Linked DNA regions of Oryzias latipes. The protein of the gene in region 2 binds, or shares a complex with, the protein of the main gene of each other region. Links are inferred from orthologs where the notes say so. Each region holds a gene or a part of one and is shown on either strand. Other genes may lie near its edges.

Evidence for each region.
Region 1: the proteins of prkaa2 (region 2) and 5'-AMP-activated protein kinase subunit beta-2 are in contact, whole or in part, in a crystal structure (PDB 6B2E), measured with the Homo sapiens proteins. The link is inferred for Oryzias latipes from reciprocal best matches to the Homo sapiens genes PRKAA2 and PRKAB2. Residues at the interface, in NP_006243.2 of Homo sapiens: Gly9, Arg10, Val11, Lys12, Ile13, Thr21, Asn48, Arg49, Val58, Gln66, Gln81, Val82, Ile83, Ser84, Thr85, Pro86, Thr87, Asp88, Phe89, Met134, Met164, Ser165, Asp166, Gly167, Glu168, Phe169, Leu189, Ala191, Glu194, Pro253; in NP_005390.1 of Homo sapiens: Val60, Ser61, Gln64, Glu67, Asp68, Ser69, Thr73, Gln74, Ala76, Pro78, Thr79, Val80, Ile81, Arg82, Ile106, Ser108, Val113, Ile115, Val155, Ser158, Asp159, Phe160, Glu161, Phe163, Asp164, Lys167, Leu168, Gln191, Met193, Tyr194.

Annotation. Positions count from the first base shown.
Region 1 is NC_019875.2:22,976,814-22,992,631, reverse strand, and holds 5'-AMP-activated protein kinase subunit beta-2, read left to right. Parts: upstream 1-2,047; 5' UTR 2,048-2,369; intron 2,370-3,837; 5' UTR 3,838-3,853; coding exon 3,854-4,012; intron 4,013-4,082; coding exon 4,083-4,240; intron 4,241-4,339; coding exon 4,340-4,433; intron 4,434-5,054; coding exon 5,055-5,169; intron 5,170-5,259; coding exon 5,260-5,393; intron 5,394-5,513; coding exon 5,514-5,582; intron 5,583-6,223; coding exon 6,224-6,301; 3' UTR 6,302-7,527; downstream 7,528-15,818. Other genes in the region: pde4dip (myomegalin), read right to left, coding at 9,999-10,126, 11,569-11,623, 11,779-11,825, 13,276-13,414, 13,498-13,632, 13,723-13,934, 14,089-14,190, 14,287-14,523 and 5 more. UniProt on the Homo sapiens protein: Non-catalytic subunit of AMP-activated protein kinase (AMPK), an energy sensor protein kinase that plays a key role in regulating cellular energy metabolism.
Region 2 is NC_019862.2:3,523,046-3,540,063, forward strand, and holds the start of prkaa2 (5'-AMP-activated protein kinase catalytic subunit alpha-2), read left to right. Parts: upstream 1-9,342; 5' UTR 9,343-9,652; coding exon 9,653-9,752; intron 9,753-10,462; coding exon 10,463-10,604; intron 10,605-11,061; coding exon 11,062-11,155; intron 11,156-13,656; coding exon 13,657-13,801; intron 13,802-14,422; coding exon 14,423-14,510; intron 14,511-14,651; coding exon 14,652-14,876; intron 14,877-15,608; coding exon 15,609-15,771; intron 15,772-15,937; coding exon 15,938-16,276; intron 16,277-16,355; coding exon 16,356-16,482; intron 16,483-17,018. Other genes in the region: plpp3 (phospholipid phosphatase 3), read right to left, coding at 7,966-8,101. UniProt on the Homo sapiens protein: Catalytic subunit of AMP-activated protein kinase (AMPK), an energy sensor protein kinase that plays a key role in regulating cellular energy metabolism.

The DNA.
Region 1 (15,818 bases), on a different chromosome or scaffold from region 2:
TTTCAATCTTTATAAATATATGCTGTATTTATGTACTAACTATACGAACAGGATTTCGGTTATTCTATTTATTGAGTTATTGATGAAACAGTGGTAAATGGTCATTGCATTGAAATTCCTGATGAGAAACACTCTCATGTGTGACTATTTTTGCAACCCAGTAAGACCTTAGTAAGACCTTAAAACATGGGTTACTCACCTGTTCAGGTTGGTGCTGTGTTTAAATGTTAAAGCTAAAAGGTGGGAGGTTTTCTTTTTTCTTAAATTTTTACTATAAGACTGTTATTAGCCTTTTATGTTTTGTTAAAAAATGCATTTATGAATATTTAAAGAGTTTGACTGCTTTGGCTTTAGTTGTTATGCATATTTATGATTTGCTCTTGATGTTGTCAGATTTTAGGTATTGGAACTTTTTCCATTGCAATTAGTAAATTTGACCTTTTATTGATTAAACAGTCCCCATGAAATTCTAAAAAAATAAGTTATTTGGTTTAAATTATCTTAGGAAATCCTGTAATTATATATCTTAAGGCTGTAAGGATTTAAAGTACTTTGCTTTGCAGTTTAGTCCTGTTAAAAAGATTATACAGAACTATCCATTTTGGTGATTTTAAGTCTGCAAGGCTTTAATGCTAAAAGAAACAATTTATGTATTTTTTCCCCTTTTTTTTCTTCGCCCATATGAATCAGGTTGAAAACGCCTCAATTAGTAACTGCTTTACAGCAAATGTTGACCAATCAGGGCTGTCTGGTCTTTTAAGGAAAGGAGGCTTTTAAAAAATAAAAGTAAGAAAATAGCATCATGAAAAACATATCAGGGGATAATACTGTCATGTATCAATTTTTTTTCTTTTATATTAAAGCATGTAAAAAATTTAGGCAAATAAATTCATGAATATCAAAAATGAACATCAGAAATATGGTCTTTCGTTAAAATTTAAAAATGAGTGACAGAATAAAAGTGTTTGGACATAAATCCATTGATGTTCTTAACCTGCTGTATCCCTTTCGGGGTCACAGAGTCCCCAGAGCCTGTCCCAGCTGTTGGGCGAAGGTGGGGTACACCCTGGACTGGTTGCCAGTCGGTAATGGAGCCACACACTCATAGCTACACTAAGGGACACTTTAGACTCACCAATTAACCTATAAAGCATATTTTCGGACTTTAGCATGAAGCCAGGGTGCCTGGAGAAAACCCACACAGAAAGGTCCCAGCTGGTATTTGGACAAGGACCTTCTCGCTGTGAACTAAGAGCACTCACCGCCACAGTACAGCCCTGGACAGAAATACGCTCACTAAAAAATAAACAAAATTCAATTTCTCAGTTAATGTTGTAACTTAAACTTTTTAAAACATTTTATAAACACCCGCAACCAAAGCAGTTGTGATGTGATAGGTGAGCTGATATTGTAGTAACAAATTGCTGGGGAGGGGGGGGGGAATCACACCTTATCATTTCCACAATGTCATTTAAATCATTTTGTTTACCTTGATGGAAAAAAAGCTATGATAGAATGAAAAATGCCAGGGATGTCAACTCAGCTGTTTTACCTAAAATACAGTGTATTAAATTAAGTAATTACAACCCCCCTAAATAATTAATCACTTTGAATCGAGAGTACACATAGACAACAATACATATTAAAATGAATGAGAAACACTTATGCTCATTGCATTAACGTCATTAAATGACTTAAGTAACACAATAATTTGTATTTTTTTATGCAAATTAGGGTAAATCTTTTTTTTATTAAATAAATAGTATACTTGATACATCTATATGTTACATTTTATAGTATAAAAATGTCTTTTAATTTCATTTCATTTTATTTGTAAAAAAAAATTACATTGACTAAATTGTACATTATTTGGATAATTTTACTACAACCACTATTAAGAAGAGACACGACACCAAATAAAGAATTAATTACATTTATTTAAGTATTTGTAAAATTTCATAAAAATGTTTTTTTTTTTGTTTGTTTGTTTACCGGATGTTGTTTTTGTCGCGGCTGACTGCTTTTTTTCCTTTACCGACCGCCGTAGTTGTAAAAAGGGGAGGATCTTCGCTGGTGTCACAGACTTTCCTGCTGCTCTTCAACACAAATCATCGCCTCAGCAGCGATAGGCCGAGCTTCTAACCCTTTTCGGTTCTTTTAAATGACTAAAAACAACAACAAGTACTCTATCAAATTAGTTAAATTGTTTTAGTTGTTATTTACACAGTGAAAGGAGTTCCCGGTTCGAAAGCAGAGTGACAGCTAGCTAGCTGCTAGCTGACTTTAACAGCGACCAGCAGCTAAAAATATTCACCAGGACAGTCGCGAGGTAGGCGGGCACAGCAAAAGCGTCCTGCGCAGTTACCACGGTAGGTTACAAATAGTGTGTTTTGTCATACGAACTAAGCTTTTTATTGATTCGCAAGTCATTCGGTTGTAGTTAAAGCAGATTTTCGAAGGGACCCATCTGTGTCCAGGGAAGTTCACTGATAGTTCATGATGCTAAAAATACCTTCTAAACGTGGGTAGGTTAGCTGTTGTGAATATTTTTATTTTCTTTATAATCTAAAGATAAACGTATCGTTGTTTTCCACATCATTAGGCTGTTTTGTTTTTTGATTGATTTATTTTTAAATATGACTCTGGATCATCCTTAGTTCTAAGAAGAAAAAAACAACAATCACAACTGATGATTTGATGTTTTTTATAGCTATAACTTTAACTCTCACGAGTAACACAATTTTAGTTTATTTTCTGTAAAACCAGAGTGTGACATATGTGAATGTCACACAATGTGACATAAAGCGAAATAGGATTTGCTGTTTGTTGACTAAAGCCAAGGCTGATCAGTGTTCCATGAATCCAGCAGTGTCACGGTGAACCCACCAGTCTACAGTGTTCAGCAAACACCTGCGCCTTTGTAGTAAATAGAAGCTTTTGTGCCCTGAGCTTTTAGTTTTTTCTTTTTTAATTTGATCGTTTATCTATGTTGTTCACTGAAACCTCCTACTATTTTATCCTTTAAAATTAAGACATCTTAGCTTGTAAACTAATTTGAAGTGATGGACTTGATTATAGTGTGAAAGGTTTATACTGCTCATTTCTATGTAGGGGGAGGGGGGATCAGTGTCTCTGTGGGGACGTAAAAGGTGATGCTTGTGAAAACAAGCACCATCATGTGATCAAAATTCAATTAGAAGTTGTATTCTCTTTTAGGTTTTTAGTAAAAAGTACATTTTACTATGATTATTATAGAATAGTTGCATGTCGTTAACTTAAACCAATCTTATCAATGTTTTATGATACAATATTTTTTAAAAAGCTTACTTTGGTACTTAAGCAATTTTTGCCTAACATTACTTTCTTGTAATTTCTTAGTAATATGAAACAAAAGTTATCCTAGAGTTCGCTTAAATCAGATCATCTTTACAGAGTTCACTTTTTTTTTAGCAAGGGAGTTGAAGTCAGTCTGGCTCTTTACTTGGTTCAAATTAATAACTGAAAAAGGAAAAATAAGGAGAGGAAAAACTGTCACCAGATGCATTTACATGCCCTTAAGAAACCGAGTGAAACTGTGTTTACAGAATAGTTTCAAGTTTGTTTTTTGGCATTAATCTGCTCAGTGAAAAACAAGTTTTTCAGAAAAGACTTACATTGTAAACTGTTTGAAAAGACGACAAAAATCCTCTATGAAAGCAGAAAATAATAGAAAGCATCTGATAAATATGAATAATAAATATCCTCAATGCAAACATGAATGAACATTTGTCATAAAAGTGTTATAAATAATGGTTTAGTTCCCACTTCAAGAGTTTCTCCCCCCTATATTTTGCACAGTAAGCAGTGAAGCATCATGGGTAACACAAGTGACAGGGTATCTGGAGATCGGCATGGAAACAAGGCCCATCGTTCCGACAGCAGCGGCAGCCACAAAGACCAGGAGCACAGCACCAAGATGGTGGACAGCACAGATGATCCCAACATCTTCAACACCTATGGACCTGAGTCTAAAGTAGGAATCCAACTACTTCACTATATAATCTCATTTCTTTCATATTATAAATATTTATGTTTGCTGTTAGGGGCTAGGAGATAAAGAATTCACCCCGGATCTGGATGACCTGGTGAAAACTGCCTCCCAGGCCCGTCCCACAGTGATTCGCTGGGGTGGTGGGGGGAAGGAGGTTTATATCGCAGGCTCTTTCAATAACTGGAACACTAAGATTCCACTGAATAAAAGGTAAACCGTTGGTTTTACATCAGTTATACTGGTGTCGAATGTGTTTTGAAGTTTTGTCATCGTTTTAATATTGTTTGCTTTTTCTTTCCCTCCTCAAAGCCATAATGACTTTGTTGCCATTTTGGACCTGCCTGAAGGAGAGCACCAGTATAAGTTTTTCGTGGATGGACAGTGGGTTCATGATCCTTCAGAGGTACCCGAGTCATTTTTCTGTGCTTGTAGTTTTTGTGGAAAAAAGTTTGAGCTCTGCTGGTTTCTGGGTTGCAGTCAACATCAAAACCTAAAGGATTAACTGAAAGCGTTAACAAGCTAATTTGCTGGCAACAAGTCATCTTAACTGAATATGAAGTAACATGGTTGAAGCAATAGGAAATGTTTTCTTGGAGTATAAGTCAGTAAGAACAGATTTTAAGCTTGGCATTGGTCAAAACTTGTCAACTAACCCATCTAAAACAGATTGGACAGGATGGTTCTGTATGTTTTATAATTTCATTTTTAATTGTTTTTTTTTACCCCTTATTCATGCAAATATTCATTAAACAACTTCTGCTTCAAACTTACCTTAATCTAGCATCAACTTAAAAAGCACAAGCATTAGTGAAATTGTTGGGAATAAATTGGGCCGTCAGGGGGTTAAGTCTGTAAAGCACTTTGTTTCACTGTAGAATGAAAAGTGCTTTATAAATAAAGTTAATTTGTGTGTTTGGTCTCTTCATTTAGCATTTGGTGCTTGTCATAGCAGTTGTGTTTTTTTTTAAGGTGTTAATGTTTGACATGTTAGATGATTAACTTCAGGATCGTTGCTGTTTTGCAGCCGGTGGTAACCAGCCAGCTGGGAACGATCAACAACCTGATCCAGGTGAAGAAGTCTGACTTTGAGGTGTTTGACGCGCTGCAGGTGGACTCCCTGGAGTGCTCGGACACATCAGGTGCGTCTCCTGTGATAGATCTTGTTCTCTTGCTGCTCGCCTAAATAGATTGGTACATTTTCGGCCTTGAACACATCTTCATGTCTCCAGACTTGTCCAGCTCGCCTCCAGGTCCGTACGGACAAGAGCAGTACATCTTCAGACCCGAAAAGCACTTCAAAGCCCCTCCGATTCTCCCCCCTCACCTGCTTCAAGTCATTCTTAACAAGGACACCAACATATCAGTCAGTGTTTTACGTTTTCTCAGTGATTCATCCTTTTACTGTCAATTCCGTCTGCTTCCATGTTGCTGTTGTTTCTCTGAACAATAATCTTTGTGTTTTTTTTTGGTCTCTGCACTTCAGTGTGACCCTGCTCTGCTGCCTGAACCCAACCACGTCATGCTAAATCACCTTTACGCTCTCTCAATAAAGGTACATTCACTGTTACAATGTTGCTTTTAGACAGAATTTTCCATTTAAATTGGAAAATATATATATATTTTTTATCTGCCTCTTTGCCTCATCTTTTTAGTTTTCCTCAGTGTCGCTGAGTTGAATTTTGATCGTGACAGTTTTGGTTCTAGTTTGTCTTCATTTAATTAGCCCTGGACTGCAAGGACCTGATTGTTTTTACAGTTCTTCTTTCTTACTGCATGTTTTGGTGAAAATGTCACCCCTGCCACATTCTCAAAAACTCCCCAAACTTTGCACACGACACCTCCACCTCCAAAAAATGATGACATGACAGCAGGCGAAACTGTCAAAAAATGAAAGGAGGCAAAAAAAAAAAATCAACAAAACCAAAACACACGAGTCGGGGCTATCCAAAGGAAGTTTTGAAATTATTATTGGATGGCCACAGAACCATGAGGAGTATGAAATTAGGCGTTTTAAGTCTGCTACCCAAACCAAAGTGTTGTTGACCTTTGACCTTGAAAAGAGGCAGCTTTTTTATATTTTCCACAAAAAAATGGGCGGACGATGCAGTTTTAACTTTGTATTATTTTTGCAATTTCTTTTCTTCCAGAGTTGCAGCTCTTGAACCCTTTTGTTTTTTTTTTTCTTCTGTGTAGGATGGAGTGATGGTGCTAAGTGCTACTCACAGATACAAGAAGAAGTATGTCACCTCTCTGCTGTACAAACCCATCTAACCCGTCTTCAGATGCTCAGAGAGAGCAGCGTGTTCGTTTTCTTTTCAGTTTGCCATCACTTATAGACAGGAGTTGCACTGAAACATGTTTACAGGCTGCTCCAAAGAAAGCCGCACTTCTACACAGGGCTCTGAACAACGGTACAGGGTGTGGGGTTTTGGTAAAAGAAGACAACTCTACTACGGCTTTAGCTGGTGACATCTCCTTGCCGATGAGCCTGATTAAATCACTGCGTGGTGTTTGTATGTTTTCACATTTGATTGTGTGATTGTAGTTTTTAGATGACAGTAAACGGTCTGTTTTTTTTGTTGTTTCTGCTGCGTTTGCGTTGTTACTTTTTTTATGTCGCTCGCTGAATGTAAACAGAACGACAGGTGACCTTTTGTTAAGGTGAAGTGCAATAGTGGGTCATGAAATCATCTGTGAATTCTGTTTGAGCCAAAGGCTTGTATTCCTGTTTTTGTTTTGGCAGCCGTGATGCCCAGCTTAGTCCAGAGCTACAGTTGTAGCCATTTCTTTTTCTTTTTCACTAGTAGCTCTTTTTTTTCCACACAGGAAGTGGTCTAAAGTCTTTGCTTAGCTGCTGCTTTTATTCTGATGAATGTTTGTAAGCATTATCGTTGATACAAGCTATAACTATGCAGTAAGTAGCCTTTGCATTGTATTGTCTTCCATCTAATTAGTGTGTTCTCACATTTGTCTGCTTTGTTAAAGAAAAACTATCGTACTGTATCTGTGTGTTACACGTGTGGAGCTGCTTAAAGGTCTGTCTGCGCTCACATTTCAGTTTCATAGATGTTGTGAATACATTGATGTTGAGAAATGAAGAGAACCTAGGAGAGCTTTGATGATGACTGGTTGCCATTTATTTAAATTTTATATGTAAGACACACCCGTGTTTTGGTTCTGAGCTGCTGGTTCCTGCGTATGAATGCTCACAACTCTTCAAACATCAAGGAGAATCTCTCGGAGGTATGTTAGAGTATTCTGTGAATGTTAAGCCGGGCTTTTATTTTCTAAAAGCTCGGCTTTATTTTTTAAAACTAAGATTTGATAAAGGAGTTTGGAAAAGAGCCATGGATCCAGGGCTTTTAGGGCTAAAACCAAAACTTGAATTTTGCAGCTATACTTGATAAATCTATGAAAATGCTTAGCATAAACAATGTGGTAATCCTCTATAGAAGATTGTACTGTACTGCAAATAAATACACTACTCTGATCCTAATGCCACTCTCTTGGTCATTTCTTTTTCAATGAAACAGATTTTCCAAATGGTTGTTTCTAAAGTGCAGCTCTGGTAAAGGGTTTGTGGAAGTGATGGTCTTTTGTGGCATGTACTTCCCTGAATTAATGCTCAAACTTTGTTTAGCAACAATGCAACTAGTTAAAATCTAAAAGATTGAAACTTAAATCAATGAGAAATGAAACGAGAAAACAACTTTTTCAACTGTTTTATTCTCTCAAAGGCCTTGATTTCTAAGACAACACACCAAAATTAGCATTCATGTGTCTTGCATCAGCTCTCGCAGCCTAAAAAGCTTTATATACATATGCAACTTCAAACCAATCAAACATTTCAAATGGTTTTCTTCCCTTTATTTTTATTTTTTAGAAACAAATAGTAAAAAGTTTTTGTTTGTATTTAACAAGGTGACATTTCTCTGTCATTCAGAAGCTGGCTTTTTAGTTTTAGAAGTCACCACATAATGTAACGTTAATTGATTCAAATACTTGGTCTCATTCAAATGCAAATAAAGCCTAATGCGGTAAAACTTGAGGCCATTTGAACCACTGAAGCTGAAGAAGCTCTAAGACTAAATTCTGAAGGCAGGCCAACCAATTTTATTCGGAGCTATAAATGATTGCTGTCATATATGGGTATATATATCATAAAGGCATATTTGTGGAGATCACACATAACCTACTTGACTAAATATCGATCATAAGTGTCAGAATCTATTGAGAAACACTGCAGGCGAGCAGCAAACACGCAGATGTTTTTTATCCACGTGAGCACTTTTTGTTTTCAGCTATTGCACGGCTACCCAGATGATCAACTTTGCAAAAAGCAAATGTTGAATGTTCACAAACACGCTCACAAAACCCCTACAGAAAAAGCAGGTTATTTACAGCGCAGAATGCCAAGTGTACAGCCAACAAACAAATAAAGAAAAACAAAATACAGACCTAATGATCAGCCTGCCAAAGTTTGCATCATTTTGCCATTGCCATGGGAATGCTATGAAGGCCTGAACCAAGAGAAGATAACAGCAAGACAAAAGCATTTGGCCTCGTGGCTAAAAAGTTCGCTTGAGTTGAGTTTTGGTCCAAAAAAGAAATGGAGCTCGTCTTTCTAAAAAGTTCCAAATGTCCTGATTGATTTGGTTGTCCAAACGGTTACCGTCTCTGTGGTTCTAAAGGCCCTCATAAAAGACACCTTGGTAACCCTGCGGTTGATCCACTCTGGGCTTTATGGATAAGGCAAAGTCAGAGTGAGGAGTTTAGAGGTCAAACTTTGGCAAGAATTTGCAATCTCATCTTCAATAGCTTAGACTTCCAGCGAAACACTCTGTCATGCATTGAAATAAACACAGCAGCAATACTGGGCGTGTCCACATCATGACGGAGTGTAAATAATAATCCAGTAACTGTCAAAGATCCAAAATGAACATAGAAACATCATTATTGCACATGCTCAAATGAGAACTCCTACACAGGAGTGGGTACGCGTGTTTAGCCTGGCTCCACCTGTGTACTGCTATATTTTATGGTGTTGTGTTTGTTTAGCTTGATAATATTCAAGACTGGATTTTTGTTCACAATAAAGCCTCTCAACAATCAAAATAAAGTAACTTAAAGGAACCCTTCCCTGGTTTTAATGGGTCTTGGCTACTGCTAACTCATCAATCATAGGATTCCTCAACAAAAACAGACACATCAACTACTTACCTGCCTATTGTACATTCTTCCACTGTGTATAATACTATTAATAATAACAATACAGATGTCAGTTTTTTTGCATTGCATTTTCAAAAAGATGTAAGGAAAAGTGCCACAAAGCATGAGGTTGCACTTCTGTGGCAGTCATGTGAGTCTTGTCTTTGGGTGAGCAGTGTTTGATCTCTCACTCACACACAAAGTGTGTGCACATGTGTGCAGAATCTCTCTCAAGAGCCTTTTTTTAACATGCACAAACATCCGTTCTGTCCACAAACTGTCTGACTCTCAGGGGAGGGGCGTCTTTAGACACAGATAAAGGGTCTATGACAGAGCCTCGGCCAACAGGAGTTGACCACTTTTTATTTTTAACGATGGTGTACGTATCTGTGTTTTAGAAGTGGTTCTTGTAAAACGCCCCCCTGTTCTGTGGAAAACCACGCTGAGAGTCCACGATTAAGGACACACTTCACTGAAACCTCTGTAGGCACATTTCCATGAACCTTCTGTCACACACACTACATGGTAAACGGCTGACTGCGTCACCCAAAGACAAACGCACAGGGTGGAAGGTAGAGAGTCGCAAACAGGTAAGGCTCAATGTGCTGATAAAACTGTGCGCATACTGCCCATAAAAAAGAGGTAAGGTGAGTGTGGGCAGGCAGTCATGAGGAGGGAAGGCTGGTGAATGGGATGGCTTACAGGGTCTTGGCTAATTTATCACAGAGGTCAGAGGTGCTGAGGCTGCGTATGTCAACATCTACAGCAGACATTGGCTGCTGCGCTTCCTCGCCGTCAGGCGGTTGCTGGCTGCTCCGCAAACACCACCGGACTTCAGGTCACCCCGACCAGCAGGCCGCTCTCTGGATACACTTGGTGGGTCTTTAGCTGGACAAGGGCAGAAAAGGGCTGTGAAACCCGGAAACAAAGATGCATAGGGAGGTAATATTTCCTAATGAATAGCTTGACATTTTGAGTAACATATGTATTTGCTTTTGAATTAAACATGTGATGGTGGAATCCTACAATTCATACAAAACATAGAGGCTGTGTCAGAATTCCCTCACTACACCCTAAAAGACTAAACAGTGCGTAACTATCTAATGCCCTGGATTTTACTGTAATGTGGACACATGCTCACAACTTTTGTTTTTTTTTTAAACGCCACCAATTTGCTGAAGTAAAAACCTACTAAATAGGAAAGATTTTTCATGAATTCACTGTGTTCTGATGATGAAAACCTGCATAATTACAAAGAAAATACATTTAAATACTTAAAAAAAAAACAAAAAAAACAAATAACTCCAACCCATTGCATTGATGTTTATACTTGCTGATGCAGTGAGCACCAATGCACACTAATGTCTAGGGCAATGGATTTTGGACACCCTGACAAAATGACAATAGCACTATAAAGTGCACTAAGTAGAGTGTGAATTCAGACACAACCATAGAGTAAAAGTACATTTTGTCTTAATAAAATATTTTCCAAAACAGCATTCCTATATTCTTTTTTTTTATTTCTCATAAAAATGATTTAACAGCTCGTTTAAGTGAGCAAGCATTTAAACTAGACCTAAAATTTGGTCTCATAGTACTTTACTTTGAAGTTACAGTCAATTTGATGTAATGTTAATATCAGCAAACATATTTTACTAATATGAAGTATACTGAAACAAATATAGGAATAAAATGTACTTACTAAAATTTTAAAAACAGGATAGACAATATAGTCTTTTTGTTTCTCAAAATGTCACGCAATTCGTTTATAAATAGCACAACAGCAAGGACTCATTTGCATCTGGCTGCACCTACTGGCACACTACTGTGAGCTCAGCTCTGAATGAGAGATCGAACAGCAAGCGGCAGCCCTCAAACCTCCTATGATGGTTCCTTTGCTCTGCCTCATAGTGTGACTGCATGAAGCTTTTCATGGAAGCGCTATTTCTAAAGGTTACAGCTTTTTTTAGTTTGTCACACATCCAAATCTAATAATGTGTGAAGCTTTAAATAGATTATGTTTGATATTAAGGGCGAGCACCAGTGAATGGCACGGATAGAGGTTTTATTTGACAGCTGTCAAAAACTCTAAGTATATTTGCTGTTATGAAACGATGTCTGTTTGTGTCTGATGGTATTAGCCCCCTCTTATATCTGACATACTTTACTTTTTAAATGTTACTTTGCTAAAGCAGGAATGATGAGTGAAGATGGAATTCTCTTTAGGAAGTGATGCAAAATGTCAGGATGGTTAGCTGAAGCAGGTAGAAGCCGCCTCACACACGAATGTGAGGAAATGAAAACAGAACCTGGCAAGACTTGACAATTACCAGCATAGGGAGAGGAAGAGGAGGAGCTAAGAGAAGAAAGTCTCTGCTCATTCTTCTGGGGGTGGGGGTGGGGGTTTTAGAGGAAAGAAGGGAGAAGTAAGACACTGAACGGATGACAACAAGACTCAACACCACATGGTCCAGAGAAACATCCGGCTGATGTGTGCAGACGGGGATCTAGCTGGACGTTCATGTGAAGCGTTTGGTTACCTCAAGATTTGTCCTTGCTTTTTTCAGCACATCACGAGTCCTTGACACTGCAAAAACAAAAAGGAGAAACAGTATTTGTTCGTGTAACTGTGTTGCTTTTAAAGTTCCATCCTTGGTTCTACATTTTTTAATTTGTACAAGTCTCCGCTTGATGCCATGTCTCCACTTAGGAGACAAGGTATCAACTTTAATAGTTATGCTGATGACACCCTATTATATGTGGCTGTGTCTCCTGATGACATGGGACTTATTAATGACCTTTAAAAGACCCATTCTAATGGAAATTGTGTTTTTGGTGTAGATGTTCTTGTGGCATTTTTTTTAAATGATGGAGGACATATATATAGAAAAGAAAAAGTTAAAATTTGAGTATTTCTTTATTTAAATCATTGTAAATCAGGAGCAGACGGAAAAATGCAGTTGGAAACAGCTTGTAGCTGTGACCTAAAATCTACAATCAGCGGATCACAAGCTCCCTGCGCAGCTCCATTCTGATGCACCCACTTGCAGACAAAGAGATCCATGTACGCCTTCGCTTTCCTCTTATGAGTTGGCATCTGGCTCAAAACTGTACGGCTGGATAGCCCTAATATAGTTCACCATTTTTGTTGCACTGATAATGTTCTGTTGGGTTTGTGAGGGGCTGTAAGCTAGCGGGAGAGCGTGTAAACCGATCGATGATGGGAAATGGATCAAATGATGATTAGAGTGGGACTTTAAATTGTATTTTGTAACTATTGAAACAATTTCAAGCTCAATCAGGACAAAACAAGGATTTTCATTCCTAAGAGAGTGCCCAATTTAACTTATCAGTGCATAATTTGAAAGTCTGCAATAAACCTCAGTATGATTTCAGATGCAGATATTACCTCTTGAAGCACCAACAAACCAAGTTACAAAGACTGCCTTTTATCATTTTAGAAGTATTCCCCAAGTGAGACCCTTTCTCTCCAGAGCCAGGGCCGAAATATTAAACTTTAAAACTTCTGCAATAGATTATTGCAATGCCCTTCTTTCTATGAATCAGCTGCAGCTAGTTCAGAACTCAGAACCAGAAATTTCTATTTCATTTTTATCAGAATTACTTTCAGTTTATGACCCTCCCAGATCCATCAGGTCCAGCTCGGCTCGTGGTGCCAAAGGTCAGAACAAAAGCCCACAGCGAGGCCACATTCCAGCACTGTGGGCTGGAATGATGTGATGCCTTCATCCACGGAAAAAAACTCAAAACACATCCTTTATCTTAGCTTTTATGTAGTTTTCTCATGTTTTAATTTGATTTTATTGACTGTTTTTCTTTGTTTTTTTTATGTTGAATCTGTATGTTTATTGTTTTTTATTTTTAATTGTGATTACTATTTGTACTATTATTTATTTTATGTTAAATTATTTAAGACACAACGTGAAATTTCCTCACTTTTCTATCAGCCCTTGTGATTATTCTGTGGGATGTCACTTTCTCCCACACACACACACACACATGCAGACGGCACTCACACTGGCTGACGATAAAGTGCTCCATGCTCTCCTTGGTGCGGCTGGTGTTCCTCAGCCTCTGGACTGTTCCTTTAATGACCTCATCCTGCTCTGATATTCGCAGTTTCAGGGACAGGATCTCCTCCTGCATGCACTGCTCCTGTACAAACACATATTCATGTTGTTCTGGGCACAACTGAAGCTCATTTACATCACAGAAATGTAAGTAAATGATCTTAAAACCTTCTTCAGATTTAGATCAGAGCTGGGAAGTGCTGCTCTCCAGAACATCTTAAGGAGAGACATCGCCTCCTCTAAGATCTGTCTGAGTGTTCTGGTGTTGGACAGAAGATTTTTCCCCCATCTGTTGTTCAGAGCCTATAAGGAAAGCTTATATGAGTATGATGGGTTTATTTATTGAACTGTAAGATTTCAACAATCATCAATAGGAGTTAAGGAAAACCAAACCAGTTTGCTGCTTTCTTCTTCGCTGCCATCCGGACCAAAGCAGGCCTGCAGGGTTGTCTCCATGCGCTGAACGAGGCTCCGGCCTTCCAGAACTTGCTGCTGCAGGGAGCTGAAATCATCCACATGACCAATAGCGTGGCGGCCATTACGGTTCGCAAACGATCCATCGGGTGCTTCCCCCTCCAGCTCAGAGTGGGGATCGAGGGGGTCTACTGGACGCAACAAGGTTGAAATGAAAAAACAAAAGATTTGTTTTTTTTAAATACGTCATGTATTTTTCAAAAAAACACAAAAGAAGACGATAAAAGCAATGTTTTACAAAGCAAAGCATTAGACAGATCAATCTAAGAAGACAGTTAGTCACACCATTAGCCGTGCTATGGCTGTCATCCAGGTCTGAGTAGGGGGGACCTGGAGATCCACAGTTAAACAGACCAATATCTCTGACTGGTGGCGATGGAGCAGGGTCTGCGGAACACACAGATACACAAGCCAGGCTTGGACACACAGCAAACCACACAACACAAGGTAGACAAGTCTCATGACTGCAAGCCCCTGTCTCACCATGAAGAAGCTGCCGTCTGTAGAAGTTTTCTCTTTGAGGGCTGGCAGAGAGAGCAGAAAGGGATGCAGGTCTGGGTGATGTGACTCCCAGCTTCTGCTCCAGCTGTTTGTGGAGCTCTAGCTGTTTGAGGGCACTGTTCTCCTGGACACTGCTCTGCAGCTGAGCCCGCAGACTCCTCACCTCCACAAGCAACTCCCCCAGCTCCACTGGAAGACCTGCCACCTCGCACAGGTACCCTGAAATATGGGCTTTCATAGTCACACTGCAAAACTTCAACTTTTGTTCACATTTTAAAACTTGGAGAAATTAACAGTTTTTATGTTTTACTTTTATTACCACTTATCTTCCACCAGATGGCGCCAAAGTGTGTTAATCAATTAAATTCTGGTTTTCATTTTGTAACATAATAACATGATGAAGATATAAAAGGTAAAAAGGTGTAAACAGGTTGCTGACTAAAGATGGACTGACCTTTGTTGGCTCTTGTGCTTGAACAAACGCGATCATAAACGTGAAGTTCACTCTGCAGAGAATGGACGAGATCCCTGCTTTCACAAAGCTGCTGCTGCAGCAGCGACACCTCATGCTGCAGCCTGGCAATGCAGAGACATTATGACAGAGTCAAAGCATGTCGGCATATACAGATCCTTCACCTTTGCACCAAACAATAGCAACCTGTTGGTTTTCTCCTGTCCGGCCTGTCGCTCCTGCCTCAGCGTGTGAATCTGCTGGCCCTGTTCTTGACTGTGAGCCTGAAGTCGTCTCAGCTCCTCCTTCCACTGCTCGGCCTCCAGCTCTGCTTGCTTTTGGCGTGTGCGTGCTGTGAACACTGCTTCCCGCAGCTGCACCACCTCCTCACCTGAATCTTAGAGGTAATGGCAGGATAATGAGTTAAAGGGAGATCAAAATCAATACTGTTGAAGATGTCAAATGAAGCACCTGTTCTGGCCTTCAGGCCTGATTGGAGAGCAATATTTTCCTCTTTCAGGACTCTGATCTCATTGGACAGCTGAGTGACTGTGTCCAGTCCCTGAATATAGATGTTTGTTGGTGCTCCTAAAAAAAACATGGTAATTATCCCATTTGAAAGGAGTTTTTTGGCACACCTCTCATGTTGTAGGACGTGTTACCTCTATCGCGTCCAGAGGAGACTAGCTTCTCCTCCAGCTGCAGGCGCAGCGCCTCATTGGTCCTGATGGACTCTTCCAGACGCTGACGCAAGCACCTGACCTCCTGCAGATGCTCCTCTATCAAACTCAAACCTACAAACAAACAGTACTATTATTTTGTAATAGCAGAGGAATATGGGAATGAGTTTCTGAAGGATCATACCTGCTTGGCTGCTTTCTGGTGGATGTCCAGAATAGTTCCCAACAAAGTTCTCTGTATCCCACAGAGGTCTTTGGCCAGAGTCAGACTTCACTGAGTGGTCTTCAGGGATGCCGCCCAGCTGGTACTGTGGAAAGGCATGATGAGATAGGTGGGGGTAGCTTGTGAGGTCATGGCGGTTGTGGGGACTCGGTGAGAAGTT
Region 2 (17,018 bases):
TCTGCTTTTCTAACATTCTCATCATAAAGCGGGATGTCCAACATGCTACCTGTCATGTAATAAAAAACATTTTATGCATCTGAGAACAAATTATTACCGTTTGGTGGAATTGTTGCTGATTTGACATGAAATGTTTTAGTCTGAGAAAAATATTGGACTTGGAAGAATGGCAGGTTTGAGCACAACTTTCCCTGACTGTAATGTGCCAACTGAGACGTTTGCAGAAGAAAATGTGAAGGAAAGTTTCTTTGGGTTTGAATTAGGACTTAAACTCTTTTAGTACATCGAATTATTTTGTAAAAAAAAAAAGTCTATTTTTATTGTAATTCTTTTATGAAAATTCTAGACCCTTTAAGCCAGAAAAATTCCAACAAACAGAGTCACTGAATGTGTAAGAAACAAAATCTAAAAGTGTTAAAAAAAAAAACTGAAAAAAGGAAACAAAGAAAGATGTTGGATTTCACAAATACCACAAAGTTTTAAAGCTGTTATTTACATGTAGTTTCATGAAAACTTGAGTTGTGAATAAATGGTGATGTGTTCCTTGATATGACTCCTACTTTGTCTGGGAATATGATCCAGAAATGAAAAAATGGATTTCTATTGATCCCAGCGCTCAAATGTGATTCTGCTATCAGTGTATATATCCTGAGGATCAATAAAGATGAACATCCATCCAAACCAGCTTTAATACTTCCTTCCACTCCCTTTCAAGCAATATTTATTAATATGTCTAATTATCCTAAGTTTGATTAGTTACTGTATGAATGTATAACTGATGATTATATTGCTTTTGTGTATTATTTCTACTTAATTGCTTGAAATAAACCATTTCAAATCAAAAATCAAATTGATACTTTTATGACAGGTGACTGCATATTTGAGGCTCTTGACAGACACTGGACGTAGTTTCAGGGCTAAGAGTTAGGGGTGATGGATGTGACTGTAATGTAGAGTTTGTAGAGGTAGGAATGGGCCTCTGTGGTGTTTCAGGGGAATGGCAGTGGTTCATGTCAGTCCTTGCAATCAAAAAAGGAACACCCACCCCCCTCCAAATACCTAATCCTATAATGATAATTTGGAGATCCTACATTCAGAAGCAATGAGGATGGACGCTGCTGCACATGTGTCAACTACAGAGGTGGCCTCGCGGTTTCCACGGGCCGCTGATGTGTCTCACACATGTAGAATGCTCAGATACACAAACAGACACACTAGAGTGGCTGAGGTCAGCAGGGTGGTGTGCAGAGAGGATCCCTGTCCTTTCTCCTCCCTCTGTGTGAATGGTGGGGGGTGCAGGGGTGGGGTGGGGGCACTCACAGAAGCATCTGCTTACTCAGATGGATTTTATTCACAGAAATAAATGCCTTTTACACACAAGCATCTGCTGCGATGCTCTCTAGGGGCACTTTTACTTGCAGGCACTTGTGTGGGCAGCCTCAGCACAGCACAGGCCTTTGAGTGAGGCCATCTCTGGTCCACACCACCGACTGAATCTGAGAACTGGAGCGAGTGAGTCTGACGTCGCCCATAGAAATCACTTTATTTCTGGCTCCAATCAAATGATGTCAATTTTTAGGATGCGGATGCTGCCATGTTGGAGCCGGACAACGTCAGTAAGCAGCGATTGGTCCGAGTCAGTCTGAGCCATCATTACTATGGCAACCACTTTTGCTAATCAGAGCTGAGCTTGTTGGAAGGCCACACCCCTACCACTTGCCTGGGGAGAATCTGTCAAACGTGTTGATCATTGGACGTGGGGACCAGCAGACTCCGCCTACTTTTCATGAGGCGTCTGATTGGTCAGTTGATAACTTGAGGAACTTGGACTCATGGACTGTAAAAATAACGGACAAATCGAATTGTGGGATCACCCATAGAAAAGGCCTTACCTCTGGCTCTCGTGAACTGAGGGGAAATCCCTCAACATTGCTTCCTGATGCGGGCGCCACCGTGTTAAAAACCACTCAACAGTGATTGGTCCGAGTCGCTCTGGGTCATCGTATCTATGGCAATAGCGACAATAGTTGCCAAAGATTCGATGACTCAGAGAGACTCGGACCAATCACTGTTGATTGGTTTCAACATGGCGGCGCCCGCATCAGGAAGCAATAGTACCTCCTATTTGGGAACACAAGAAGAGAGGGGTTAAGCTGTCTGTTGTTTTTACCGTCTATGCTTGGACTACAGAAAAAGATGTGGGAAAAAAATTAGAATTATTAAGAAAATGTTTAAAAAAATCTATCAGGGCAAGAATGGTTATTCTGACCAATAGAATGACAAACATCTGTTTGTTTCTCTATTGACGTCTATGGGATTTTGGCTTCTAGGAGCCAGCAGGTACTTCCTGTTTGGAACGCCTAGGGGAGGAGTCACTCAGTCCAGTTCTTAGTTACAGTCAATGGTCCACATTGAGGGAGCAGAAAAACAACAGGCAATTAAAAAGAAAGATGGATTACAGCTCAGAAAGAGAGAATCAGATTATGAGGGAAACTGAAGGGATAAGTGGAAACCTGATCAAACTGTTGTGTTATCTGGTGGTGTCTGCTTTGCCACAATACAGTTTTGGCTCCTTAAGACAAAAGAAGGCTGGGAACTCTTTGAAATGAGACTCCTCTATCTGGATAACTTCCCAACATCTCGCTCACTTCTGCATGCACTGGTGATTGTGCAAATCTGAAGACAATGCCCGTCAAAGTGGCCCTGCAGTGTGAATGCCGCCTGTGGTTTTGGCTCCTATTACGGCCGTCTCATTCAGCCCGGCCTCTGTGTGTAAACACGACAGGCCTCAGTCGCTACAGCCCAGATAAGGCCAGCAACAGAGAAGATGCTGAGCTGATTGAGTGAGCAGATAAGTGCTGCTTCATACACTGAAGAATGAGGCAACAACGTCCCAAACCACAGTAGGGTAATGAAGCAGCCGCGGGCACCCAGGGAGATGCCCGCCCACCTCTACCCCCTTTATTTCATCCTCCTCCTGTCTGCCACTGGTCTGTTGGTTCTCGTTAACGGAACAAAGAATGCTGAGACGCTTCAAAAGGGTCATTGTTCTCTACGTAACAGTGAAATCTAAATGACCCCCCCCAACCCCCCCTTTCCCTAGATGCACAGCGTATGTGCACTCACAAATACTGAGGATTATAGCGGGCGATGCGGTGCGAAAAAGCGACAGACAGGCAGGCCTGTGTGACAGCAGGGAGGCCCAAGGAAGGGACATAGAGATGTAATGAGGCCCCCCGTTCCACAGCATTGTTGTTGAAGGCTCGCCTGTCTAATCTGTGCACCCAAAACACACAGATGGAACGGTGGGACAAAAAGCTGGAAGCAACAGAAAACTTCCAATTTGTGTAACTGTGATGCACAGCCTGACATGCAGAACGTCATGAAAGACACTCCTACCCCACTGACTCAAACCTAAGCACAAAGACACATGCAGAAATGAATACTAACAAAAGGTGATTGCAGGGTCCTGCCCAGTAATCCAAAATGATTTATATAAGCAGTCTGAAGGTGTTTAGAAAGGAGATGTGTAATCATACACGAGCTAGGACAGAGACAGCAGAAACAGAGGCTTTACCGCTGCACAGCCGTCAGAGCGAGAAAGCTGTCCTTTTTCTTTACCGTGCAATTTGATGGATTCTCATGGGGAAGACGGGGGCAAAAAAAAAGAGCAGAACGTGTCTGGCCTGCATGGATTAGTTAGTCTGAGTCTTCAGCCTGCTCCCATAACTACATGGGACATCTGCACATGCACTCACACCCAAACATGAACCCACAGACGCCTGGCACATGTTAATGACAGCGCCCCGTCTGCATCACGGACTTCATGAAGCCCACCCCCAGCAGCAAGCCCCCACTTTCAGCTGCAGCAGCAGACAGCCACACTTAACAGTGACTGTTGAAAGTGGAACACACTAACACACATCTATACAAAGACACAGACGTTGCACGTTTTTCATTCTTGGTCAGAAGTTACAGCTGATAGTTTGCTGCTCTGACAGAGCATCCAATTACCTACAGAGACCTTGCCCCACCTTAGCCTGCAGCTACAGGATGCAACTCAACTCCCCAGTCAGGACAGCCACTAAAGCAGCATAACTGTATGTAATCCAGCTGGAAAACACAGCGGACAGGTCGGGTGCACCTTTAGATGTTTTGTCTTTAATGCACCACTCTATAGAGCTCATCAACGTCCTGCCGACTCATGACCCCCTCTTCAAATGTCACACAATGTCCCAATCCTGCACCCCTCCCTGCATGGAGCACCTTGTGTCAGGTGATCAACCTCCTGCTTCCTTTAAGCGAGCTTCACGGAGCAGATCTCTGCTGGAGAACCTTTTCTGTTGCTAAGGCTCTGCTCTCCATGAGGTTTCTGGGTTCTGACCACAGATCTACGTCTGTCCTCAACTATACTGGTGCTGGATCCATTAGTGAGATGGATTTGTGTTTCCCCTAATTTAGTGAAATGTTCTTGAGTGGAGGATTATAATTGCTTGTCTATTTCTCTCTTAGACATTAACCCCCTTTTTTTCTCCTTTCAGATACTTTTGTGTGGAGAAATGCCCTAAATTGTTACGCCTCTCTTTGGACAGCTCATGGACACAATAACTAGGAAGATATCTTCTCTTTGTGCGTTTCCAGAAGCGTTTTATTAAATTCTGTTGCACCGCACCTGAGCAGTGTGTTCTTCTGGTGTCCACTCATTCCACACCCTCACACAGGGCTCAAGAGGACCCACACCGGGACACCGAAGAACACGCTATAACAATTACAACTGCGATTGCTTTAAAAAGACTTTTACTCCCATCACTCATGATCACTGCCTGTCAGGAGGATCCTTGTTGGGTCGCCAGTGAGAATATTTGCTTTTCAATTAAAGGGTTTGTGCTAGAATCCCTCACACTTGTTGTTTGACTAGGATTCCCTTGTAGACGCTTGGCAAACATGAAAACTGCCTGGGACAGCGTGTCAAACATCTTCCATTCAGGGCTACATGGTGGTTAGCACTCTCTCGCCTCACAGCATGAAGCCTCTGGTTCAAATCTCAGCTGAGATCTTCGTGTGTGGAGTTTGTGTGTTTTCCTTGTGCTTGTGTGGGTTTTTCTCTGAGCTTTCCTGATCACCCCACCGTCTGAAAACACGTCATTAGGTTAATTGGTGACCTTAAATTGTGTGTTGTTATCTGTTACTGTGTAGCCCTGCAATGGACCATCCCTGCTGTACCCCAACAGAGACTGGGATGGCCCCCAGAATACACATGACCGCCAGAAGGGATAAAGTTGGATTAGATTTGTCTACATCTGCTTAACAAATTCATTGAACAATAAAGAGAGACTCATTTAGTTATTTTATTATAACTTATCTCTAACGCTCGTCTCCCTTAACAGCTGGAGCAGCTAGAACCATCTCAACGACAGCGGGAGTAAGATGGAAATGCATCACGGGGCAAAAAAAAAACAGGATTTCATTTCACAGTTACACCTACGTCTGACCGAACCCTACCTTTCCATTTCCCACCCTTTCCTGCGCTCCAGCGTGCGCACCCACACACACACACACACACACACACACACGCACACACCCACACACACGCACACACACACACACACACACACACACACGCACACACACACACACACACACAGTGTCCCCTGGTTCACTCCGACTCAGACCAGATGTCTCATAATTCTTTGACCAGATGAAGAATTTGGGACATTCTAGAAAATATTTGTTGAGCGGCTGAAGTGACCGAGGCTTGTGGAGGTTCTAGTCCTCCACTTGAATGAGCAGGCAGACTGCAAAGGCACAGGCAGAAGTAGGCAACAGTTTAATACACAAGCCTTACTCTGATGATGAAAAGCCAGCCGTGTGGCTTTTGCTCCAGGTGTCAATAATATAGATAACCTGACAAAGCGGTTAAATAGAAAACAGCTAGTCTACAGATTGTGTCTCACATGAATTGATGAGGCTTGGGGGGCCTTTAGGATGAACTACTGCAACTGAGTAGTCAAATAAAAAGAGACTCCATGCATCATAAACACAATCTCCTTTTGCACGGTGCAAACCTTTGTTCGAGTTTAGGGGAAACTGCTTTTAGAGGTTTGGTTTGCGGAGGGCCTGAGTGTCTGTGGCTTCACAAAGACCTTTCAGAGGAACTGGACAGTGTTTCAGGAACAGAGGAGTGCAATTCTGCAGCGTGCTGTCAAGTTTGTGTGTGGAGAGCTTGGTGTTTGTGTGAGCGTGTGTCTTATGGCTGCTAAAGCATCTCAGTGAGAGCAGAAGCTGAACTGAGGTGAAAGGAGCACATAATGTTTGTGGTCTGTGTGTGTTTGAGCATTACTGAGCTCCACATTCTGTTCATGTCTCTGTGCTATTAGTGCCTAAAGACGTGAAGCCTCAGGACATCAGACCTTTAGGGAGATGGTCGTGGATTGGGCCGTCCCCCTCTGAACCCCCCCATACGCCCACATTCATCCCCTCAGAATGCTCCAATACCACCCCCCCCTTCACTTCTCATTTGACCCCATTTGCCCACAATCCCGCTAAAGTGGGCCAACCAATAATCATCCAGCAGCCCAGCCAGGCTGTGTTTAGCATAACAAAGTGGAATCTGTGCCCGTTTGGACCTGTGTATTTACATGTATGGCGTGTGTTTACATCCAAATGTCTGCAGCATCAGAAGCGCAGACAGACGTGCAAACGGAAATTGGTTTATTCGCTCCACATGTGCTCAAAGCGCATCTGCATTTATAGGAGCCCAGCTGAGATGCAGCATCGCCGTCTGAGGTTCTTTAACGAGTAGACGTTGCCGCTGTCAGACAGATCCGCTTCCTCCTCACACCATTAAACTGAGTGTGGAGGCAATCTGCAACATTTGCCACAGCAGGGTCACAAAACCCAGTTCCCTCAGACAATTTTCCGTTTTTAAGGCCTCAGCTTCTCAACTTAGAGCTGCTGGTGTCACTCCCACCTGCTCCTCTAAAGCCCGGTCGGCCACAAATCCCACTTTTCAGCCCCTCTCTTCTAAATTGGAGAGGTATTTCCCCCCCCTGCCATGACACATGGGTAAGCTGTTATTCCACACATTCTCCTGGCCAGCCGGAGCTGGGAAGAGAGACAGCAGCCTGACGTGGAGCGCTCGGGGCAGCTGGTCAGGGGTTTGCTGCGTTCCGGGGCAGAGTGGGGAAAAAGTTCTGAACAAAGCAGATGGAGGAGAAAAGGAGAAAAAAAAGCGAGAAACACTTCAGCTCTAAACTGAAAGAGCCGAGCTAGAGTCACAAAACGGCCATCAAAGCCTCGCACACAAACACGCCGGATCGGACCGGGACGCCTGCAGAATAACAAGTCGGCCCAAACACAACTTCAGCTTTGACCGCCCCCTCTGCCCCCCCCCATCTCTATGTATGGGCAGCTCAGCCTGCAAGGCATTGGAGGTTAAAGGTCAGATGAGTGAGGTTATTGGGGCACATGAAGGGGCGTCTTGCTATTTTAGGGGCAGTAAAGGGGCAGGTTCCAACACTTGAAAACATTAGTGCTGAAGGCGTGCTGGCAGGCTGCAGGCAGCGCCGCACTGCTGTGACACTCCATCCGTGAGTGGAACATCTTATTTCAGGATGCCGTCTCAGCTGAGAAAACAGTCCAGTCCCGTCTCCTCTTCACACGGCGAACATGCAGCAGTTGAAATGCTTTTCAGAACAATCAGAAGAATGAATAAACGGATGAACATGGCAGCTGGAACCTGGGTGGGGACTGGACTCGTCTGCATGGGTCGGATGATAACAGGATGCTGCAGCTCCAGTTCTTGAGCTGTCAGAGATGCTGGCCAAACGCTCAGCGTGATAAGGCTTTTATTTGTCAGCCATTATAAACGGTCTCTTATCTGCTGTTTCCAGAGGAAAGTGGGCCAGAAGTTAGACTTTCAGACTGCAGCAGCCAGGAGGAAAGAGGACGCTAGGGACAACTTACCCAGCAGGAGGCAGAAGATGTCAAGCGCCACCAGAAACTTCTTCTTACTGTTCCCAACACCGCTGCTGTTTAACGTCGAGGTTCCACCGTTCCTTGTCTCTTGGGCCATTGCTTTCTCATACATGTACTGTTGCATCGGAAAACTCTCAGTCCGTTCTCAGCTCAGAGTCCCACAGCGCGCAGGAGGAGAAACAGTCCTTCAGTCGATCTGGACGGACCCACAACAACAAGTCACATGCGGCCGAACGGCACGGAAACTTTGGACTGAGAAAGAATTGGCGCTGCGCATCAAGTGTCCTTCTCGTTATATCAACCCGTCTTCTCCTCCTCCCCCTTCCTCCCTGTAGGTTCTCGCTGCAGCCTCGGCCCTCCTCCTCCCTCCGCTAGCGGTGGGTAATCGCCCCCATCCCATAGTTCCGACACTGTCTGCGAAGAAAGGGGGGGCAACATACCCCCCTGTGGCCATGCGCGGTACTACAGGCGCACTGCTGAGAGCTGCGCGCTCCGGAGCGCTCCTATAGCAGTTCACAGTCACCCCAGTTCACCGGGACGCACGCACAACAGGGTCAGAGTGCGTGTGAGCGTGCGTGTGGGTTAAAAAGCAAAATAAATCTTCATTCAGTCGAAGCTATTTGCTTTGCTGCAGTTTCTTTTCTCCCGTTGTATCTTTTAAATACACTATGGTGTGGATAAAAACTCCAAATTTGATAACTAATTATGACATTTAATTAGGTACCATACATTCTTATACTGGTGTTTTAGTGGATACGACTCGCGCAAGTCATCTTATTTATTTATATAAATGTAACTTTCATGGCTAAAACAGTCCAGCAAATATCGAGTATATACTGCCATCTTCTGGCCAAATAGGAGAACTTCACTCTCTTTGGGCAGGAGTGAAAAGGGAGTTTTTAATTAGTTTAAGTGCGAAATTTCACAGTTTCACTCAGTTAGTTAAAAACATAATTAGGCCAACAAATAACAAAATTAGTTTTCGGAATCTTCTTTCACCATTTCATCCAAAGTAACATATTTGAAAGCATATATAAAGTTTTTTCATCTAAATGTAAATAAATACATAGTTATACAAGCCATGCGATGGGACAGACGGTGTAATTGGATTTTAGAAGAGCATAACAGCAGGGGGAATGTCTGGAACAGACGTTTGACCTTGAACGCAGCACTGGTTGAGCCTTTCACTCCACTATAAATGAGCCACATGTAGTTCAAATCTGTGGTTTGTTCCTAAACAAATGTAGAATTACTTCAACAGATATCAATGAGAAAGAAAGGACTTCAGGATGTGTCATTTGACTTGAAGCAGTAAAAGAAAGCGCAAAGCGCCTTAAGGCTGCATTTAGGTTCCTATTTTTAAAAAGATCAGCACGCGCTAGTCCAAACACTTCCACAGTGACGTAAATGAAGGTCTTTTGCGCTGGTTTTCCTCGTATCTTGGAGTGCCTGAGCTGAGCTCGTGCAGCTTTGTGCCTTCACCACAAGCAAAGCCGTTTTTCACGGAGGGTTAGGGGTTCGCTTCCTGAGAGGAACAACCCGTGGAAGCTCCGCGTGATGCTCGTTTCTTTTTTTCGGACAGCTGGCACCTGACCTCCACCAGACAAGCCGCCTCTCGCGGTCCTCCCGCCCCTCCGCGCGCGCACCGAGCAGCGCGGCCGTCGGTAACGGGAAGATGGCAGAGCGGCAACAGCAGAAGCACGAAGGCAGGGTCAAGATCGGACACTACATCCTCGGCGACACGCTGGGAGTGGGGACGTTTGGCAAAGTGAAGAGTTAAGTGGTGTGTTTGTGTCTGTCTGTGCGTGCGTGCGTGCGTGGCGGGGCTCGGTTCGGAGCGGTTCGCCCTCTGAGTGGACCGCGTGAACTTGACTCGGAGAAGTTAGCGTAGCCGCTCGGTGCTGCGCAGCTAACGGTCGACGTCAGGGGCGTAACTTTGATCTGGGAATGGGGCCGCTTCAAAGTCAAACATGCGCCGCGTGCGCAGCCCCGCGCGCCGCCGGAGCAGGTACCGAGCAGCTGGATGGGGTCATTTCTGAAGCCGTTCCGGCCCAATAATAGGGGGGTTGCCCGTCTGTGATAAAACACCCCCCCCTTCCCCCGCCCAGATCGGCGGCTAGGGTTCTCCTGGTTCGGTGTCCGGAGCGCCCAGGTCAACCCAACAGAACCGCTACCGTACAGAGCTTTCACGGCCAACCCGCGTTTGCTTTGGTTCTGGTGGTCTCACCGTCAAAAGAAAGGTGGACTTGAAGCATTTTTCCCATGAGTCCCATCCCCTCCTTCTCTCTGGGGGGTCATGTGAAAGGAGAGCCCACCTCAGATCTGGATTCACGTGGCTGTCTGGGCTTTGAAACAGGCAGAGAGAAAGTTACAGGTCGTTGGACCATCAGGACAAGCAGAACTGATCCTAACAAGGTTTTTATCCTTCCAGCTCCCTTTGCTCTGTGGTCTAAAAGGCCTGTCTGTCCCCTCATGTCTGCTGCAGTTGGAGAGCATCAGCTGACTGGACATAAAGTGGCCGTGAAGATCCTGAACAGACAGAGGATCCGAAGCCTCGATGTTGTGGGAAAGATCAAACGGGAGATCCAGAACCTCAAACTCTTCAGACACCCGCACATCATCAAGCTGTAAGTGGTCCCTCTAAGACTTCAAGCGGCTGCTGGAATGAAGGCCTGCTCGGCTTCAGCTCTTGGCGTTTTTGTCTCTGTTGGACACCGCGGCGGCTGCTCTTTGAAGAGCTCGCTCACACACTTCACAAGCTGGACCACACACTCAGTGCCCTCCTGTTTACACGCTGCCTTCAATCCTCCTCCATGCCTCTTGTATTTTTCTGGAAGAATGTTGTCCTACTTTTCATTGTGAAGCGTTGTGAGCGGGGATCTTTAGGCCACACCCGATCGTCTGAAGGCTCAGGTGACCCGTGCAGCACCTGCAGAAACATTCCCCACATTTTTAGTGTTGTAGTGCTCTGTGTGGGGCTCAGATTGAGTTGTGTTGTACACATTCTCCGACCCTTGTGTGTGATTCAGGAAGACTAAATAACATTGAGCGACAACAACAATGAGGCCTCTGCTTTTGTTCCAGATACCAGGTAATCAGTACTCCAACAGATTTCTTCATGGTGATGGAGTACGTGTCTGGAGGGGAGCTGTTTGACTACATCTGCAAAAATGGGCGGGTGAGGCTTTTCCATCCTCCGTCTGTGTTCATCTGCTGTTCAAGTGATGTCCTAGCTGCCATTTGACCCTGGACTTCAGAGATCCGTCATCCTAATTCATAACTAGAAGGATCTGCATTTCCAGAAGAAAATGGGGTTGAATGCTATATTGCTGAATGAAAATGAAACTTAAAGGGTAATAATTGGCAAAAAAAAATAAAAGAAAGAAATGATCAAAGTAGACCATAATTAAAGGGAAAACAGCACAATAGCAAAAAAGATGACTTGTGAAAAACGCCAGCGAGATTCTGCACCAAGGATTCCCCATGTATTTCAATGGAGGCAAAAATCCTGGAATATCTTGAAAAGTTCAAGGATTTAAAGGACTAAAAGTCATAGCTGGAAAAAGCTGAAAGGCCTGAATAGTTCAATGAATAAAACAGCGGAAAAATTGTAGGAATTAAGCGACAAAATATGGCGGAAGATACTATAATAAAGAAAAAAGAGAAACAGGAAAACAATGGGTTGAATAATTTATAGCACTCAACCTACTAGGAGACTTTGTGGTTTCGTGATCCCAGTCATATCAGACACATCAATTTAACTTTGATGCTGTTTTGGTTTAATCATAGTTTGTCTTTAAATATCAGCCTCCATGGCTTTTATTTTCAGAGCTGCACACATAAAACCATGATCCGACAGTTTTCTCTATCTGTTTATTTAGAATTTTAGTCCTTTTTTTTTCTCAAGCTCTTGCTTTTCTGTTTCCCTGTCAACACTGTGTAACCCTTGTGCTATAGGCACTTAAACGTTGGGAGTTGGGTCATCTAGACCCACTAGACAGTGCTCTGAACCTTTTTTCTTCAATGATTTGTGATCTTCACTGGTGTCCATGGATTACATGAAATCTTTCCACCTTTATCCACCTTTGTCATGGTAGGGAGAACACGTCAATGGAAGGGGGGGGGGGGTCATCTAAGATAACAGAAGGGTTAATCACGTCTCGGTTCTCAGAAGTTCTCAGTTAAAACCCAACTATAGCCCATCCTATTGCAGCCTTTCAGAGCAATTCCCGGGCTTCAACAGTACCAGACAAAACACCGGAATTTCCACAACATTTATACCTAAGAAAGTCCTAAAAATTTCAAATGAAAGCTTGGTGGTTGAGGCCAAATGACAGACATTCACACATGTTGGAAATTAACTTGAGAATATAAAACAAAAAAACAAAGGCATGAATAAAATCTGGGCTCAAACAGGACAGCTTCAAAAAAACTCAAGAAAACAAAAACATGACGAAAAGGATTTGTATCTGAAATCAAAGACTACACTGAGGTTGTAACACCGGATGGGAAAACAAGAGTGAAGATCCAGAACAGCAGGGTGGAACAAGACGTAAGCAAACAGATGAAATGCACGAAAGCTTAAAGTAAGAAATACCTGAGAACAAAATTTGAAGACGTCTTCACAACAGCTTCTATTTCTAATTTATGTACCGAGGTGACCCTTTACCCAAACAGATGGAGAAGGTGACGGTCATTTCCTGTTGATAGTTCTCTGCACTTTCCCGAAGTGACTCCTAATACAGCGTTTCCTCGTTTATTGTGGGGCTTACGTTCTTAAAACAACCCGCAAGAGGGGAAATCCGTGAAGTAGAACTGCAGTCAGTAAAACTCCTCACAACACTTTCCACAATTTAGTCCAGAGGTGTCAAACTCATTTTCACTGAGGGCCACATCAGCATAGCGGCTGTCCTCAAACGGCCAGATATGACTTATACATGTCACTAAATGTAATGAAAAAAAAACATGTTTGCTTGTTACTCTTTCATAAATTCTTTTACATTTGATTCTGTCAGGTTAGGTTATATGGACAGTGTTTAAGTCCTAATGTATAGTTGCCCAATCCGTTATTTCAAGTCCAATTCCTCATAGATGTGAATAAACACAAACAAATTTTTATTTTTATTTTAAGAATTTGAAAACTTTTATGCTCTCGCGGGCCACAGAAAATGACATGGAGGGCCACATTTGGCCCCGGGCCTTGAGTTTGACACATGTGCTTTAGTCAGACAGACATGAACATTTTCACACTTTTCTCTCTTATTCAAACTCTCAAAGTTCAAATCTTCATAGAAGATAAAGTCTAGTATTATAGATCTGATTGCAATCAAAGATTTATGTCGATTTGGAAGGTTGAACACATTCTGTACAGGAGACACGGCCATGAGGAGATTGATTGACAAGGTCTACAGCCAATCAGGACACAGAACACTGTGTACTAGCGTTTGCATGCCAGCCCTAGTACACAGTGTTCTGTGTCCTGATTGGCTCTAAACCTTGTCAGAACACAGCGCACTAGGGTTGGCATGCAAAATTGTAATGAAAACTATCAGCGAGACGGTGAAAGGTGAATATAGATTATATATAGCGAGGGAACACTGTATCACCACGGTAACAGTAGGGTTGCACATTCTCTCCAAACCACACAGTAACCATCTTCCTTGACATTGTGTCTTTAAGGTGGAGGACCCAGAAGCTCGGCGTCTTTTCCAGCAGATCATTTCAGCCGTGGACTACTGCCACCGGCACATGGTGGTGCACAGAGACCTCAAACCTGAGAACGTCTTGCTTGATGCCAATAAAAATGCCAAAATTGCAGACTTTGGTAGGTTTTCCAGAGATGAACCTCAGCTGTGTGCTACTTGCCTCGGGTGGAAAGCAACATGGTGTACTTATAAGGGTAAAAAAATAAATCAATATAAAGTTTCACTCATCGGTTTGGGTTTTATTTATGTTTCCTTCTTAAAACAAAATTCCTGCTGCAATCCGACCAAGAAAGAGAAAAATAATTTCATAGGCACACAAGAGCTCAGTTGGCGGGTGTTATGGGTGAAGCGGCGTCCCTTGGTAATGTGTAGGTCTCATATCAAGTCTGGCAGGAAGCCTGAGGCCCAGTGTCATCTGATAGGAAATGAATAGGGGGAGTGCTGCAGGAGAAGTGTTTGGCTGAGAGCAAAAAGGCAGCAGATAGAAAGAGAAGGAAGAGATGAGGAAGAAAAGATAACGTGAAGGTCAGAGAGGCTCAGATTGGCTGCTGTTTAATGTTTGGCAGCAACCGGAACAGAAAGACAGCCTCATCCAATTAGAAGGGCTTTATGTCTAGAGCTTAGAGTCTTGGCAGGTTGAAGAGGATAAAGATCTCAGCAGGGCTTGAAATCACGTTGAAAAGTATCCACCACAGTTTTTATCACACAAAAGCAAGTTGTGATGTGTCATTGACCAACAGGACTGTCCAACATGATGTCAGACGGGGAATTCCTGCGAACAAGCTGCGGCTCACCAAACTATGCAGCTCCAGAGGTCATCTCCGGAAGGTGAGTCCGTGCAGAAAAGGAGAACAGTGGTTGGTGTTGTTCTTTTCACGCTAAAAGTTGTCATTGTTAGTGAGAAATCAGGGGAACTCTTTACTTGCAGCACTCATGCTGTTCTACTGCCCCTTCTGTTACCTCTTCCAGGCTGTACGCAGGCCCGGAGGTGGACATCTGGAGCTGCGGGGTGATCCTGTACGCCCTGCTGTGTGGCACCCTGCCCTTTGACGATGAGCATGTTCCCACACTGTTTAAGAAGATCAGAGGAGGCGTTTTTTACATGCCAGAGTACCTGACCCGCTCTGTGGCCTCACTGCTAATGCTCATGCTACAGGTGGATCCGCTGAAAAGAGCCACCATCAAAGACATCAGGTACTAACCCCAGTCCAGAGCTCTGCAGAAACACACATTGCTGTGGATTGAAGCACTCTGTGGTTGGCCTACATTGATGTTGCTGCTGCATTACCAACAGTTTAGCTATTATTCAAATGAATTTCCGTTCAAGCCTAGATGACCTAAATTATTACCTTTAGATGATCTCAGTAAGCAGACAGATTGGTGGTCAATCCATACTCTGTAGCTGATCAGGCACCTCCAGTCACTTTGTTTTCAAAGTTAGGATATCAGGCGTCTTGGAGCTTTGAAAATGTTCAATGAAGATATTTGATCCTTTAGTCTTGGAAATAGTTTTTCAAGCTCTGGAATCAAAAAAGGTTTCTTTACGACTGCAGTCATTATAGTCATGCAAACTCTTCATCCCAACGGTGGGACATTTGCTGATAATAAGTAATGAGTCCAAGGATTTCTGGGCTTACAGCAATGCTGCTTTTAAAAAAATAATGTCTTCCTGTTTTCATAGAGCTGTGGACGACAGAGGGTCGTGAAGACCAACGTTCAAGCTCCCACGTTTGTCTTATTGTGTTTGCTTTTGTTCCAGCCACTACAGAAGATCAGTTCTTTGGGGTTTTGGAAGTAAAGCAAGAAATAATAATTTAATAAACTCACAGAAACATCAGACTGAGGCTCGGGGCTGTCCGCTCTTTCCCCTGTAGGGTAACACAGGGTATTGCGGTTGAGCTGACTGTTCCTCTTGTGCTTTGTTAGGGAACATGATTGGTTTAAGCAGGACCTGCCAGGTTACCTGTTCCCGGAGGACTCGTCGTACGATTGCACTGTGTTGGATGAGGAAGCTGTTCGAGAAGTGTGTGAGAAGTTTGAATGCACAGACTCTGAAGTGGTGTCCAGCCTCTACAGTGGAGATCCACAGGTACTGACAAACATCAGGACTGTTTTTCAGAATTCACAGTAGTCTTTAGCTAAAGCTCCGACATCATTTCTAGTATTTTATGCTTGCAGTTGCACGCTGTAGGATGTCACATCTGAAGAAATGTCTTATCTTGTCTTCATTGTTCCTCCTCCTCCTGTTCACACAGGATCAGTTAGCGGTGGCGTATCACCTCATCATAGATAATCGACGCATCATGACGCAGGCCAGCGAGTTCTACTTGGCATCCAGTCCTCCACAGGGCTCTTTTATAGAGGAGGGTATGCCATTGCCCCCTGGGGTCAAACCCCACCCAGAGAGGATGCCTCCACTTATGGCTGACAGCCCCAAGTCTCGATGTCCTCTGGATGCTCTCAACACCACCCGGCCTAAACCGCTAGCAGTGAAGAAAGCCAAGTGGCACCTGGGGATCAGGAGTCAGAGCAGACCCCATGACATCATGACGGAGGTGTACCGGGCTATGAGGCAACTCGCTTTTGACTGGAAGGTAACGACATAAGCTCTACACACAGAGGTTTGTGCAGTAAACATGTGGCTCTGCAAATATGCCTGTTCTTGTGTGTCAGGTGGTGAACCCATACCATCTGCGTGTGCGGAGGAAGAACCCAGTGACGGGAAACCTGGTGAAAATGAGCCTGCAGCTCTACCAAGTGGATAACAGATCCTACCTCCTTGACTTCAAAAGCATTGATGGTTGGTGACAGATCAAACGTAGTTCAGTTCCCTTTAAATGTGCAAAGCTGCAACACTTACAGTCTTTCTGTGACTCAGTCCTGTAACCAGCATGTTTGTGAGTATGTAGTTTACAGTTTACCACAAGATGGCAGAATTTGGTGCTTTTGAGAGACCAGTCTGGGTAAATGCAGAGTTTTTTTCAGGAAGAGCATCCAAATCAAATCATACCAACAGAACTTTCGGTGTTGGATTGTTGAGGGCCGGGTTAACAACGACTGCCAGCAATGCTGTGTGCTGGTGAAAACTGGACTACTGTTAGTGGAAGAAGGACAGGAGGAAGGCGGGTTTGTAGGCAGAGAGAAAAGGAAAGAAAGGAGTGAAGATCTCAGAACCTTCACAGGAAAACGAGAGTCGAGGGAGGAGCGCACAAGTTGATCACATTTTGGACAGATGTAATCTGAACAAGACCAGAGTCTGCAAAGTGGTGGCAGTGGGGGGTGTAGCCAGACTGTTGAGGATGGTGGTGGGAGGATGAGTCTGGCGGTGAGGAAGAC